Caenorhabditis elegans: one gene and its partner. The protein of the gene in region 1 purifies or fractionates together with the protein of each later gene. This does not show direct contact. Each region holds a gene or a part of one and is shown in the gene's direction. Other genes may lie near its edges.

What was found. Proteins that work in one complex are often made in the same cells at the same time.
Region 2: the proteins of EGAP1.1 (region 1) and snf-1 fractionate together in Caenorhabditis elegans (co-fractionation; one large-scale study listed by BioGRID). This does not show direct contact.

What each region holds. Positions count from the first base shown.
Region 1 is NC_003281.10:5,932,992-5,940,078, reverse strand, and holds EGAP1.1 (uncharacterized protein), read left to right. Parts: upstream 1-2,858; coding exon 2,859-3,052; intron 3,053-3,407; coding exon 3,408-3,531; intron 3,532-3,574; coding exon 3,575-3,808; intron 3,809-3,915; coding exon 3,916-4,140; intron 4,141-4,186; coding exon 4,187-4,330; 3' UTR 4,331-4,389; downstream 4,390-7,087.
Region 2 is NC_003279.8:4,976,721-4,985,937, forward strand, and holds snf-1 (Sodium: Neurotransmitter symporter Family), read left to right. Parts: upstream 1-3,586; 5' UTR 3,587-3,609; coding exon 3,610-3,778; intron 3,779-4,093; coding exon 4,094-4,228; intron 4,229-4,474; coding exon 4,475-4,736; intron 4,737-4,928; coding exon 4,929-5,300; intron 5,301-5,492; coding exon 5,493-5,721; intron 5,722-5,817; coding exon 5,818-6,055; intron 6,056-6,129; coding exon 6,130-6,431; intron 6,432-6,653; coding exon 6,654-6,800; 3' UTR 6,801-7,239; downstream 7,240-9,217. Other genes in the region: W03G9.10 (YqaE/Pmp3 family membrane protein), read left to right, coding at 7,418-7,498, 7,778-8,005; paf-1 (1-alkyl-2-acetylglycerophosphocholine esterase), read right to left, coding at 8,099-8,254, 8,508-8,957, 9,001-9,124, 9,202-9,217.

The sequences.
Region 1 (7,087 bases):
CGGGGTGTTCTTTTTTCTCGTCATGCAACTGGGTCGACCAGTTTCTTTTCATCTTTAACTAAACGATAGAGAAATCATAGGCCTGAATAATAGTGACGTCTGTGTAAAGTATTGTTTCCATTTTTGTTACAGAAAATGATGAAACGAAGAATAGGAAAAGTGAACAGGGTCAGTTGTTCGTTTGACGCATATATAGGGAGAACATAAGAAAGAGCAGACGGTCAAGGACATTTTTTTATAATCTGCGACTAGCAGGAAAGTATGAATAATGTCCTAACGGCACCCGAACCAATTTTCAGACAGACGCGAAAGTGCTTGTACTTTGTACTGATGAACGAACGACAAAACAAGTGCAGTGAGAAAACGGGAGGACACTGGGGAGAATCATGTGAGCCCGTCATAAGACTAAAAGATGAGCTAGTGGCGATCAGGCGAAGGTTCAATACGACTATTGGGTCTTTTCAAGAGAGCCCCGGAAAACTAAATTTAAAAACATCAGTTAAGAGTACAACGAGAACAGGGAATGAGGAACGCACAGACTAAACATTAAAATTTTCCGATACTTTTCGAAAGTATTGCGAAATCAATAACAAAATACTTTGCTATGAGTTTTTTAAATGAAAACCGAAATAATGCAATTTTCTGAATGCTGGAAAGAGTGAAAAAGCGATACGAAAAAGCAGAGAGCAGCGAAAATAGCCGGCAACTCAAGATAATGAGAGAGCGCGAATGAATGAAGAAAATGATGGAAAGATCTGGAAAACAGAAACGAGCGGCAGAACGAATGCGAACGCGCCTTTCATGGTAGTGCGTGGCGGTTTCGTGGCGGGACCCAGGGAGGATTGCAGAACATGTTCCTTTAAATTAATTATTTATATTTTCATTGTAAATTTGTTTAAGAATACGAGAATTCTCGAATCCAGTTTGGAAAATATAATAAAAATTAAATGTTTTCAAAGAAAGATATCGAGACAGTTGCACATTAAACTTCCCGACAAAATCTATATTTAAATACGTTTTTCGAGTTTCTGATTTATTATGTGTCATGTTAAAATTGAAACATTACGCAATACTTTGAACTATGTTATTTATCATCAGAAAAAATTGACGTCTCATGAAAAATTAAAGCCTTGTGATCAAATTTCAAGGGTAACAAAAAATGATAATGACCAAAGCTTCATGTTTCTGATAAAATTTTATTGTATGGTCTTATAGGAGAAAATTGTACAATTCTCATTCTCCGGAAATTATTCCGAAGTGGAAGCTCACACTTGTTTTTGTTTTTCTCCATATCGAAATTTCACCGGGCTAAAATAGGAATGAGTGTTTGCGGAGGGTTGTCAAATTTGGTAGGAGGAAAACAAAATAGACGATAGGCGGAAATAAAGCACCTGGCAGTAACAGGTGCAGTGAAAGAAATAATGGAAACGATAGAAAAGTAAAGGTTTTATACAGCATTGACAAGCTGGATTCTTCTCGAAACTCGGGAATATCGCCACGTTGGAGAAAATCTAGTTTTTTTGTAAAGTTCTGTGGAAGCTTGAAAATGACTGCAAAGTTTTCAGAGAAACAAAGGAAAAATTGAAGTTTAAAGTTGTGTTCGAAAACGAAAATCGTGATTTATATCCTGCATTCTAACGAATAGCAATGAATAGTGATGATTTATTTCATCATCATTTTTCTCTTTTTAAGCCACGTCATAACTATTTGTATCTTCCTCACAATTGTTCAGTTAACTGAGAAACCTTTTAAAAAAGTATTATCAATTGAGAGATCACTGGCGCTTACTTGACGTGTGGCTATCTCGGTAGAAAACACGGAGAGACGCAAACATGTTTTTGGTGCGGAAAGTGCGGAAAAGAGGTGTTTGTTAAGTCGGCTGTGGGGAAACGAGAGGGAGACAGATACAATCTTGAAAAATTGACGACTATGATGATGATGATGCAAGCACGGAAATGGATGGTGGGGACTGGTTTGGAGAAAGCATCACGGGTCATGTGAGAGAAGAAAGATGCAAATAGGGAGGAAAGTGATGGAACGGGTAAGGGTTGAAGGGAAAAGGTATTATAAGTGTGGGGTTTTGAAAAATAGGGGATTGAAGGGATGTTTATAGGGTTAGAAAGATATTAGCATGTTGCAATTTTTTGCTTGCCACGATTTGGCAATATTTTCAACTTTCCAATGTGACCTAAAAAAAGATCTGGATCTTACAGCGAAGATTGTATACTTTTTATTCTGCGAACAAGAAACTTCATTCATTGCAAGACCAAACACAAAAGTTTATACGTCTTTAGTAGCGCCTATTACAACTTCGGAACTTGTTCAAAAATATTTTCGTGTCTGAAAATTGTAGAACTTTGAATATACAAAAATGCTACATGAATCTCCAAGTGTCCACGTTTTACCAAAAAAAATTGGCAATCTGCCAAAAAAAAAAGTCTGAAAATTTTGAAAAACCCTAAAACACATTAGAGTCCATATATCTACATAGTAATTTTTAAATTCATTATGAGTATATTTTGACAATATTCCAACTGTCGCTATTCCAACTTTAAAATAGTGTTCAGCTGAGAAAAGCGCATGAATTACAGTTATATATTCAATTGCGTTTTTGAAAAACCCGTTTTGCAACGTCGAAAAATTTAGGACCATTCTTGTTTTTTAACATTATCTAAAAAGCATTACAATCTCCAAAACACTCATACACACAAAAGTGTGCAGAAAAATATACGAAAAACCAATTTCCGCTCAAAAAGCCCAGTCACCCGTGACCTAAAAATCGTGAATTTAGTTTTTCATTTCCTTCCTAAATCCAACAAAATTTCGCAAGTCCCCTTCATCATCTCTTTTCAATAAAAATGCCCAATCGAACGAAATATTATGAAAAGCTGCGAGAGAAGCGTCGGCTGGCACGCGAACACGCGAAAAAAGTTCAAGAGGAGCGAGCAAGATCACGAGAAATGAAAGAAGAAAAATGGACAACACGAAATGAGTTTGATCTGATTTCTGAGCATCGACAGCTTCAGAGAAAGGCTTATATTGAAAAGATTAGGTAGGGAATTACTATTTGCCTGCCTACCGTCTATTTTCACGTGTTAATTTAGTTACCGTACTTCACTTATTAGTAGGGTGAGTTAATTTTTCAAAAAAATGGCAATAGTCAGGCGTGTAGACAAGAAGTACTTACATTTTTAGGAAGATTAAAGGTACACAAATTTGGAACATTAAAAAAACAAGAAAATTAAAAAATAAATTATTGGGTTTATTTTTTGAATCAAATTGTTTAAAACTAAAATATACTTCGAATTCAAAAGACCATCGTCTCCACATTTTTCTAGAAAACACTTTCTAAAATAATTGTTTTTTTTTAAAATTTTACTTTTAATAAAGTGTAAAAGTCTCTTTAGAAAAGAAAGTCAAGCAATGCTAGAAATGGCAGTGGCACGCGTGAAAGCTCACGAGAAACGGGAAAATATGTTGAAACAGGAAATTGAAGAAGAAGTGGAAACTGTGAGAACTTTCATTACTGAGGTATTCATTTCTGTCAAATGTCATCTGTGTGAAACTCTTGCAGCAATGCGAATACTACGCTGACATTCATCAACAAATATCTCCACCGAAAGAACGAAGTGTGGATCAGATTGTTGGAGAAATCGAAACAGAACTCAAAGAAGTTGTAGTTATTCAAAATTTGAACATTTATATTGAAATGTTTCAGATCTATGAGATATTTTCAAGTGTGTTTAATTTTGACCCAAAGATGCCAGAAAATGTGGGCGTAAAGGAAGACGACGATAAGGTTTTTGCTGTAAGTTGTGAGATTAATAGAAGTTCTATTTGAAGGCTTGGCGTATTGTCTTATGGCATAAGTATAGGGTATCGTAATAAGCTGATCCAGTATATTTTCTGTTTCAGAAGGAAATTGCTCAATTGGAAGAAGAATTTGAAGCTAACACTTTGAAAGCTGAAAGCCTCGAAAAAGAAATCGCTTATTCAAAAGTACAAATTGAAACCGAAAATGTTAAATTCGCGGCAATTGAACAAGAAAAAGCAATCGAAATTATCAAATTGGAGAAGCAAATAAAGATAATGGAGGCAAAATTAGACTTTATGAAACAAGATCCAATTGAGATTGAAGAGGTATTAGAAGAGTCGTGGGAAAAACTAGATTTATTAATTTTTTCAGATTGAAAAGCTGAAACACCGTGTGGAAGAAGAGACGCAAAGAAATACGGAATATGCAGAATCATTAAAGTATATCAAAGAAATGATAAGGATTAAAAAGGCAGAAAAAAATGAAAAGAAACAGAAAAATGCAATTGATAATTAAAATTGGAAACTTGTTTTTTAACAATCAATTTTATGTAAAAATAAAAGTACTCATTGAAATTGGAAGAAACTCAAATTGAAAAAAAAAACATTTGTTTTGATGCGGCAAAAATAGAAATTACAAAAAAATTCACTGTGTTGTTCGAGTTACAATTTCTTGAATCTAGCTATATGTAGTTTTTTTTAGAGTTCCACGAACAATGACATTACACAATGATTATTATTATTGTGTCACTCGATGAAAGCCAAGTTCAAAAATATTTAATTTCTTTCGGAAAAGCTGTCATAAAACCTTTGGCTATTTTATTCCCGGGTGCCACGATAAAAACTCAATGTGCCATCATCATTGCCCGACTATTTTTATGTAAGTTTATGCGCCCCTCGAGAGAAAGATGTATTTCGTAACCCATTTCAAAAGAAGGACGGCTCGTTGAACAGAATACACAGATTTCTGTTCCAATTGGAGATTTTTCCTTTTCTGTATTGATCATCAAAGTATTCGAGTACGTTTACACTGGTTTCTGTTCTTTCCGTTTTTAATTTCTCCTGCCAGATGCAAACTGATTCATGTGTACGTATTGCTTGAAAAAAAGAGTAACAAGAAAAAGTAGAAGGGTATTAGTCGTAGTAGTAGTATTCAGTTGTAGTAATATATATTTCTACTAATTTGTTTAGTTTCGCCACTTAAGATGGTCATCGCAATTTTCAATTAATTTTTTGGTGGACTTTTCAGAAGAGAAAACGTCGAAATATTTTATGAATGGAAAATGTGACAGTTTTTTTTGCATATTGGCCATTTTCTAGTAGGTTTGAAAAACTACTATGGTAAATTACCAAAAGTTGCAACTTGTTGCGACGGTTTTGTTGTTCTTGTTATTCCTTTTTCAGCTTCTCCTCTTTCAAAAATTGTCTGAAACAAAAAGCACATGAAATTTTGTTTAATCCGTTAAAAACCTAAGTTACAGTAACCAAGCACTCGTTATCAATATCAAAATATTGGAAAGTCGATAAACATAATGAGTTTTTTTTTGTAATATAACATGAGTAATTACAAAATTGACTTTTTTAAAAATCTGATTTGCCACGGATAGTTTCAGCCCGTTTGACCTAGTACACGAGATAACTGGAAATTCTTGTTAAATATCTTTATTACGTAATAATTTTTGGAAAGTCATGTTTTGACGTGTTTCAAATAAGATGACAATGATGCAGTACTAGGAAAAAATTGTCTTCATATTCTATGCATAATGACTTTTTACAGCATTTTTAAAAGATGAAAATACGTTTGAAAAATGCAATAAAATTTACATAAATTGGTTTCCGCTTTTCCTCTCCTATCTAACAATACTTTTACCTTCTTTTCCTTTCAATCTCACTCCGTTCCTTTCATCTTTTTTTCTGACACTCTCGTCTCTTTTTTGATCCCAACTGACCATTCTCTTTTTTTGAAAAATAAAATGTGGTCGTAGGAGACATTAGACATCATTTCGTGTAATGTGTAACTGAGAGCAAGAAGGAGGTTAAATTGAGGAAAAAAAAATAGATAGTGAGTGTTTTCCCATCGTTTAGATGGATAATGAGTTTGATGAGCACACTCATCACAAAACCGCTAGAATTACAATTGAGACATTATGTGAAGCACAGGTCACTTCGTTATTCCTTGTGTCATTTTTGTAGTTTTCTGTTTTTTTTTGTTGCAAAATTTTGGCATCATCTGGTGAATGTGTCATTTTTTTAAAACTAGATTGTGAAGTTACTTTAACTTTCTCTTTATAAATTGTTCTTCAAAGACTGCATAACCCACTAAAATATTCTTCAAAATATGTAGCTTGTGAGTTTCTTAGAGTCATGTTATAAAACATATGCTACCTTCACCAGCATACGATGACTGTAAATTTAGAAATAAATTTGTTTTCTCAAAAGTGATATTATGACATTTGGCATTATATTAACGGTTTTAAATGGTTTCCCTACCTAATATGTGATTCAATACTCCAATTTCTCGAAACCTTTACCATACTCTTATTAATTTTATCAGAACTCTATCAAATTCAAGATTACTTCCCATTTTTGGTTGTAAATAATGTTTGCAATTTCGAATGACTAAGACAAACAACTCATTATCACAAATTATTTGTATAAAAATTTGAATTGTAGTAGATATCATAGTTTCCTATAAAATGCCCACATTTTGTTGCTTCCCTTCAATTTTCCTGGAATCTTTTTTCATCATTGTTGGAGGAATCATAATGTAAAAACAAAAACTCACCTGAAAATTTCGTTTTTTTGTTCTTAAACGTTTCAGTTGTGGAAGATTTCAATAAATTTATGATTTAATATAACTTCTCATAAATTTCAAACAAGTCGAAAACAATATTTCAAATTTGTACGCTAGGAAAATTAAATTAAGGGGAAATGGAGTGTATTACATTGCTGATTACCTTCAAATTAGCAACGCGCGTTTTTTAAGATCTGGAATAGCCAAATTTATAAAAAATCTATTAACTCGAGTTCAATTTATTGCCAGCTGACTACGACGGCAATAAGCTTTGACTAATCAACAAAAAAAACTATTCCATAGTTTTTATATCTGTTCCTATTTTTGACTATTCTGAAACATTTTCCTCAGAACTCTTATCATTTCTCATTTTCCGTCAATGATTCACAAACGTATGCTTCATGCTCGTATAGGGTTCTGAGTGTCTTGTGCTAATGAGTCAGCATTTTCTTATCCTCGAATAACCTGTTTACACTTTTT
Region 2 (9,217 bases), on another chromosome or scaffold:
ATTGATTTTTTTGTGTTTCTGATGCATCTTGTTAATGTAAATATCTAGATCGTCCCTCGAGTGTGAAAATCGATCAACTATGGATAATTAGATAATCTAGAATAGCTAGAATGGTTTATAAAGTGCTATAGGAATTGGAAAGAGTTTATAGCGAACTACCATCATAAACTATCGAATTAGGTCAATTTCGGGTGGTTCTAAAACTTGAAAACTCGTTCTATTTTTGATATTCTAGCATTGCCTAAACTATCTACATTTCCAACTTTTATAGTTTTATGGAAATTTTGAAAATGAAACTAGGAACGTTGAAAAAGTTTTAAAAAAACTTTGACCAATCAGCGAATCGCTCCTCCCACTTTCGGACCAATCAGAGCTCGAAGACGTTGATTGGTTTGAAAATAAGCGTGCTTTTCATTTTGCAGGTGTTTCAAATTGGGCCAAAATAATGCCCAAATTTTCACTCGTTCTCGATATTTTTTATAGTTTTATGATGTAGTAATGCGGATTTTCAGACTATTTTGGGCACTTCAGAGTCCCATTCACACTACTCCACCTTTAATCTATTTATCCATATCCTATTACAAGGTGTTCAAAATCGAGGAAGTCCCTGAGAGTTCTTGCCGGAAAAAATCCGCGGCCAACACATAAAACATAGAAAAAGTGTCAGAACATGAATTTTGTCATGCTCATCATCTTAGTTTTCAATGTTCTGTTTACTTCTGCCGACCTGGCGTCCACTTGAAACAGGCGCCTCCCCACCTCCTCTGCGCGCACATAGCTTTTCTCTTCTACCCGCGTACAGTTGTTTTGTTTGTCGGCGAGCTCAGTCTCCTCTATGTTGCTCTCTGCATGTCCTTTCATATCTGGCAGACGAGAACACATACAATATGGGCGGGGAGTTTGATGCGCAATGTGACGACAGTTGTAAATTTATTGCAATCATTTTATTGGTTGGTAGTTGAAATGTCTTTTTACCCGGTTCCTATCCAATTTCTTCTTTTCTCTCATAGTTTCCCGGAAATGGCAATTTATTGTTCGCAGTCTCCAAAAAAGAGAACAGTTTTCATCACAAACACTTTGTTCAGTACTTTGCAACGTCCGTTCCAATCATATTTGCACTTATTTAGTCTATTTGTGTTGGTTTTCGCACGTTTCGACGCGACGTGCTTTTCGTTTTGCATCCATCCATTTTCGCCATTGGAATTGCGGAAATTGAGTGTCCCGGCCTTGACTATACTTTTTTTTGAAATATTGTTGGTTTTTTCTGTCTTCCGAATGATGTATATTTGAATATTTACTCGTATCTTTTTTTCCTTTTTTTTCTTCGCTCTAGCGAGGTCATGTTTTATCTTTCAAAGTCGGTCGGTTTTGTAAATTGAAACCAGTCAGTGATTAGAACAAATCATTTGTCAAGACATATCGTCTTTTGATCTGTTGAAAGAAATCCTTAAATTTTAAAATGTCATGTTTAAAAATATCTAAAAGAATCCTAAACATCAACATGTAATAACAGCTGTGTTCTGCAAAAAAGTTGCTTTCACGAAAATTTCAAAGTGCTCAGACACTTGTTGCTTTTCCCGCTGTAATTAATGGTGAGCAACAAACAACATCAAAGTTCGCGAAAGTTGTGGAAAAAGTTCGCGACGCCCGAATAATTTTTCTACCGATCGGTTTTTATGAATTTTGAGAAACTCGCAATGAAAAATCTGGTTTTAGTGGGTCTAAAATTTGTACGCAGAATATACAGTGCGTACAAGTTCTATACGCCACCCCCTAAATTTATGCCTGTGGCCACGTCTGTGCTTTTTAAAAAATTTCTGTTGATGCCATTCGATTCCAAATCTTAAAAAACCTATAGGCCCAAATTTTCATGACCTTACCTCAATAATTAAAAAAATTAGGTCAATAAATCGAAAAATTGGCCGTACAACTTCTATACGCCACCCTCGATTTTTTGATGATTTTTCAAAAATTTACAATTTTTGAGAAGAAGTTGAACAGCACATTAATAAATTTGAGTGAATTTCGGTGCACAGTAGCTTTTCCTACAACCATAGAACAATTTTGTCCCAATTCGTAGATCCATGGAGTGCCAATGGCACCAGAGGGCCTGAAACGTGGATTTCTGCTCCCACGTAGATATAACCTCAAAAGTTTGAGGATATGTTCTAGATACTATTCAAACATTTCATGCAAATTTTGGCATAAATTGGACTGTTCCTCGTCTCGATAGAAACACATTCATGTAAGGTCTAGCCACTTTTTGGCTACTGGAATGCTTAGAGGCCGAAATCACGGCGCCCTTGAGCGCTTGATGATAGTAACCTTGATTGTTGCGTTCAAGAACAATACTACGAAACCTGCTGTAGCTCAATCGCAAAAATGCATCCCCACTGGATTCATGTGCACCGTGATTTCGGCCTCTAAGCATGCCAGTAGCCAAAAAGTGGCTAGACCTTACTGAAATGTTTTACTATCAGCACGAAGAACCGCCCAAATCAGACCAAAATTTACCTGAGATGTTGGAATAGTGTCTAGAACATATCCCCACACTTTCGAGGTTATATCTCACGTGGGAGCCATAATCCACGTTACAGGCTCTTTGGCGCTCCACAGTAAATCGGGTTGGGACAAAAATGTTTTGTGGTCGTAGGAAAAGTTACTCTTTGCTGTTATTCAATCAAATTTATAAATATTCTCTTCAACTACCTCTTTAAAATCAAAAGTTTTGAAGAAATCGTCAAAAAATTGAGGGTGGCGTATAGAAGTTGTACGGCCAATTTTTCGGTTTATTGACCTAATTTATTTAGTTTTTGAGGTACGGTCATGAAAATTCAGGCTCATAGGTTTTTTAGGATTTGGAATCAAATGGCATCAGCAGAATTCTTCTAAAAAATTCAGACGTGCCCACATGCATAAATTTAGGGGGTGGCATATAGAACTTGTACGCACTGTATTCATTTCTCTTATTCGAAATATTTTTATGAAATGTTCATAATATTTAATTGTTTAACAAAAATTTAATTGGTGGTACGCTAATAATCAAATTTTCTAAAATTTTTACTATTTAAACTAACTGCCAAAGTTTCTAAACCTGTAGCCTTTCCAAATTTAAAAAAAACCATTAAGTTGAAAATATTATTTTTGCACATGCTCTTCATCAGAAAGTTCCCATCTACAAAGTCGTGATTTTTTGTTACTCAATTATAAAGTTGCCAAATAACCTATAGGCTACTGTTTTTTTTTTCTAAAAAAGAGTATTGACACTTCAATGTTTACAATATCTTTTTGTCTAAATCTCTGTTCTCTTCCAACTCTCCTCCCAAATACGTATTTCAAGTATACATTCCTGCAGCCTATCGTGTGTTTTTCTTTTTCCCCCACAAATTGCCACTTCAGCTTTTGTTTCAATTTAATCAAAACACACTATTTCTCTAATCCTCTCAATATTTTTCCTCTACGCTTGTTATCACTCCGTTCTCTTCCTCACCACCCTTTTCTTCCTTCTCTTTCTCTTTTCTCCATGTTTTTGTGTTGGCTTCGTCGTAATTTCTCCATCGCCAATTACTAATTCCTCATTCTACAGGTAGAGCCAAGTTTCGAGCCGCGATGTGGTTCGAGGAGAGCAGCTGGTCGAATCTTCGGCTTACTGATCTCGTTGAGGAATGGAGGGATTTGTGGCCGTCAAAAATCGAATTCATTGTGTCAGCAATGGCATATTTGTTCGCAATGACAAACTTCCTTAACTTGCCAAAATTGATACTCGAAAATGGAGGAGGTATGATTTCGGATTTTTTTTTGGTCTCTTTTTATGATATCCTCATCAGGGCTGTCACCAAATATCTTCAACAAAAAATATTGTTTGGATTTTGGACAAACAAACAACCACATTTTCAGAAAGTTTTTTACCTGGAAATTTACCAAAGCTTGTACTGAAAATTTTGAAAAATCTGATAAATTTATATGGCTCTATGAATTTTTTGAGTTCACTTCGTTCAATAAATTTAGTTTTTTTTTTAATTTTCAAAGCTCGAAATATTTTTTAAAAAATTGAAAAATTAATTTGCCATTTTATTAAATAAATTCTTTTCAGTAGCATTTGCGGCTGCATATGCAATAGTCGTTGGGGTTCTATGTATGCCAACAATGGTTATGGAGATGTCAATTGGACAAGTGACCGGACGAGCGCCTGTTCTTGCTTTTTATCATCTGTTTCCCGTCTTCCGAGGTTCGTTTAGTCTCCCTCTGCCCGTTTACAACATTTCACTTACAAATTTTATGACTGAGAAAATGGCAGAAGGCAAGGGGAAAAATATTGAAGTTTCGAAAGAACATGTGCAAATGCCAAGGAGTTGAGATGGGGATGTAACGGGTTTTCTAGGATTAAAGTTTGAAAAAAATCTGATTTTAAATTTGAACACAAATAAACCATATAAATACATTTTAGCTATAGCTAATCGAAAGACCTTTTCAGGAATCGGAGTTTCTCAAATTCTGTTCACAATGGTCGTACTTGCCTGTATGACAAAGTTCCTCTCAACTCTATGCCTCTTCCTCTACTACTATTTTTGGACATTCCATGCTGGTCGAAGTGGTCTCCCATGGCTCAACTGCAAGGCTTTCCCAGAATTTGTCTCCCAACCGTGTCGAGAAGCTGGATCAATCACGAATATTACTCAGATCAACAACAGATTGAACACGATTCAAGCGGAAAGTTCGATGATGCAGTTTCTAACGTAAGTGAGACAGTTTTGAAGTGTAAAATTTGGTAAAACGACTACAAATTGGTAGAAGATTCTTGGGCATTTTTTTTCCATTTTTTGCAGTTTTTAATAGTATTGAATCTAGATAGATGCCCGAAAATTAGTATTTCCTAGGTATTTTTCTGATTTTTGAAAAAAAATTTAAAATTATATCTCTAATTTCAGAACTTTGGAAAGACCAAGCGAATCGATTGCCGATTTCAAAGATTTTCAATATCCAATTTTAATTGCACAAGGAGCCATTTGGATTGCCATCTTTGTGGCAATTTGCTTTGGAGTTCGATTCGTTGGAAAGACTGTTGCATTTGTTCTGATGCTTGCATTCTCGTCTCTTCTTGTGTTCTTCCTTCGTTCAGCTACACTCGGAGGTGTCACAGAGATTCTTGAAATCTACTGGAAGGCTACTGACTGGGAAAAGCTTGCCGACTATCAAGTTTGGAGACTCGCTATTGAGCAGGCGATTCTGGGAACTGGAATTGGATATGGTGCATTTATTACAATGAGCAGTTATATGAAGAGGAGTAATAATCTTGTTTGGTTAGTTTTTTTTTATTTTTGAAAAATGGCAAAAGTGAAAAATTGCCAGTATTTATATATACTTTAAAGTACTTTTTCGATGATATTTATCAAAAATCACTAACATCAAAGTTTTCAGTTTTTTAAACAAAAATATCTTAAATATTTAGAAGTATTGAAGCTTTCTAATTTCAAAATCATTCAATTTTTCAGTGATTCGATCTTCCTGTCAGTGTGGCATCTCATCATCTCATTTGTGCAGACAATGTCTATCATTTGTATCGTCGGTTATTTGAGCATGAAACTTGGAATCCACCCAACTGAACTATTGGAGACTGGTGAAGATCAAATGTGGTACATGTTGGCGTACGTGTCGTATCTACCGAAACTCTGGTCAGGGGTTCTGCTTACCATCTGCATTTGCACAATGTTTTCAGTCATTGTAAGTTCAGTATTTGATCAAACTATAGCCAGTTGTTTTTGCACATTTAATTATTCTATATGCTGGATATCCACGGTTCATTTATTAAATTTTCAGACCATCTTGGCACTTTCGGTACTATCCACATTTGAGGATGCTTTTGGCGAGAATTGGTCCAAGTGCTGTCGTCGATTCTTCCTCGCTTTATTCGTTTGCCTATTCTGCTTCGGATTGACTGTATACTTTGCAACAAACGCGGGTCGTCATGCTTATGAACTTGCTACTAGAAGCATCAAATACTGTACAATATATTTCATACTGACAGCTGAACTTTTTGCGACAGCTTGGTTCTATTGTGAGTTGCTTTGAAATTAAAATTATAAATATGTAAAATTTGGAAACATTCTCAAGAAAATAAATTTATTCCAGGTGCTCACAAACTCGGAAAAGATCTTCACAACATGATGAGATCAAGATGCTGCTCCTGTTTCGGACACTTCTTCCTCTACTTCACCTACTTACTGCCAATATTACCAGCGGGTGTTGCATTCCTCAATGCACTGGACTACAAATTCTCCTCATTCTCTGCTCCAATTCACGAGTGGAAATATTCGGAATATGTTGGAATCGCCATCGCAATGGTTCCACTGATACCAATTCCGTTGTATTTCTTCATGACGATTCTGTGCGCATGCTGTTGCAAAGGGAAGGATCATGCCAAGACTTGCAAGGTAATTTTTTAATGTCAGGGGTTGTGTAGTATACTTTGGCAAAAATATTTACCAATACGTTTTCCATGAAGTTCTTAAAATGATCATTTAATCGAAGTTGAGGCTTAGAAAACCCCACATTCCTAAGCCTAATATGTGCAAAAAGGGTCATGTAAAATTTGAAATTGCTGCACAAGTACCTCAACAATCATAATAATTATAGCGAAATATGTTTTTTTTCAGAGAATTCGAACAGTATTCGCTGCACGACTTCAGAACCACCACCATCGAGACGAAAAAGCGCAGCCGATTCCCCGATACACGTCGAATGCTCCAGGCTATTTATTACTTCCACAGGCTCCACTCGCCGAGCCAGAGATTTACGCGTAAACTTCTGCCAATGCAATTTCTCATTATCACCGATCTTCTTCTCTGCGATGATTTCCAATCGATCTCGCTGCGAACACTGACAGTCAATTATTTTTTCAATCTACCACCTCTTCTATTTTATACAACGAACTACTCCACTAGCTGCTAGAAATTTGAATCTTGTGCATATCCACTCGGTTTGCCGCCTTTTCTCTTTCCTGTTAATCCGAACTTGTTTCATTTCTTTTCTGTTTCGTTTGTATCTTCGTATCCTTCTGCTCTTTCCTGCCTTATGTCCCTGTCTGTCATCATAATCTTGAATATGTTTGCTTGAATCAAACTATTTACCATCATTCTTCCTAATTATGTGAAATTTTGTGAATATCTACCGGTGCTCCTCGCAGTTCCTTTTCTTCTTCTTCTCTTTGTTTTATACAGCTAATAAATATTTTTAAATTGGGTGCAGAAACTTTTATTTCGTTAAAAATCTCCTTAAAAATAAAGTAACACAATTTTGAAGTTAGTCGAACAAAACAAACAAAGCTACTCGAGTTTGGCAAACAGTGAAAATAAAAGATCGAAATTTGAACATTGGCATTTTTCTATCCATTTTCATTTCAATCTACAAATTAATAATAATGAGCCAAAATATTCCTGAAACTGTGGAAAAAACTGACACCGATTTGCTGATTATGGCCTTGCTGCTTATTGTTTTTCCGGTGAGTAGTTCAATAAATAGATAACGAAACATTTTTAAAGATACGCTTCTGGGTCTCGTCAAGACTTAAAGATAATATATAGTATACTAAATCCGAAAAAATGTGTCGGTTCAACGAGCTTGTGTGCTCTAGTTTTTAGTTTTTCATAGTTAACAACCCGATTTTTTTTGAAACATCAATTGGTCCAATTGTAAATATTCCAGCCAAAAACTTTAAGTTAAAACTTTAATTATTTATCCCTAGACTTCCAAACACATTTCCCGATTTTCAACATTTCAGCCACTTGGAGTTCTTCTAAAAAGCAATGGATTCACCCCTCCAGTCTTCATCTCATTTTTCCTCTACTTTCTATTCATACTTCCTTCCTATATTTTCTCAGTTTGGTATTGTTTTGTTCAACAACGAAAGGACAGTATACTCCCGCTTAGTTCCAATGATTTTCACAATAATTTAGCATTAAACAGTATTTCTGCAAGTGTCTCTCATAAGGATATCCAAGTTTATTGATGTTTTGAATAATAAGTTATTTCATGAAATTTTATTTACTTCATTGAAAATCTGACGTTCAGTGTTGATCGATTAATAGCTCATTTCTGGAACTCACACAATGAGTTTCACCCGACCGTAAATCTCATTAGTGATGAATGTAGTGTACTTTTCATCTTTCAACTTCTGAACACCATCTTTCCCATCTTTCAAAAATGACAATGTGAGTTCAATTGCAGATTGCATACAGAGATATGGCTCAGTAGGTCCCTGAAAATAAAATACGCTATTTAATAATCGAAAAATCAAGAGATTTATCTCTTAACTTTAAAAAAATTATTTGTAATCAAATTTAAATCACACTGGCTACACCTCCAATCCTCTCGCGGATTGGTGGGTTCTCGTCTAATTGAGTGGTCACATGAAATTTATGTCAGTTTTGAGTCGAAAAAATTTTACTCTCTAATTTCTAACTTTTTGATATGTATTTTAGTCTATAACTTCTCAAATAAAAATCAATTACATGAACTCCGAACTGCTTGGCGAGCCAATTTGGAAAAACAAATGGGAAATCGGTAAAACTCTGATGAACAGCTCCACTTAAAGTCAAGAGAATGTTTCCTTCGTTATTTGGAAGAATTTTCCTCATAACTTCCAAATTCTCATTCCACTGCCAATCTCCAACATTTAGGAACATTATCGGCTGTTTTGCCTGCTCCTGTTGATTTTGATCCAATGGATACATCCATCCATCCAATACAATTGCTTTTTGGAAATCCGAGGAAGAAGAGGCAATGCTAGTTGCACCTCCAAAAGAGTGACCAATAATTGACGCAGTCGTCGTGAGAAGCTTATTCTTGAAAAATTCCAGATTTGCGTTGTTTCCAATGATAACTTTATCTTTAACGTTTCCAGAATCCAACTGCTCCAAGATTTTAACCGCCTTCGCACATTCTTCGGCCCGTTTCCCGACCTTAAAAATAAATTTACAGGGAAAATTAAAATTGAAAACTCACCTGTTCATTTCTTATCTTAAACTGATCCTTATCATTTCTGTCGACTAACTTGATTTTCATAGGTTTCTCAACAAGAGTCCCATTTTTTTCAACAAGTTTATAGGTCCAGCAAGCGGAAGAATCTCTGAAACGATTTCAGTGAAATCAATAGGCTACATTGAAGCGATCCATTAGAACTCGAAGAATCTTTTAACAGCATACCTATGCTCAACAGCAG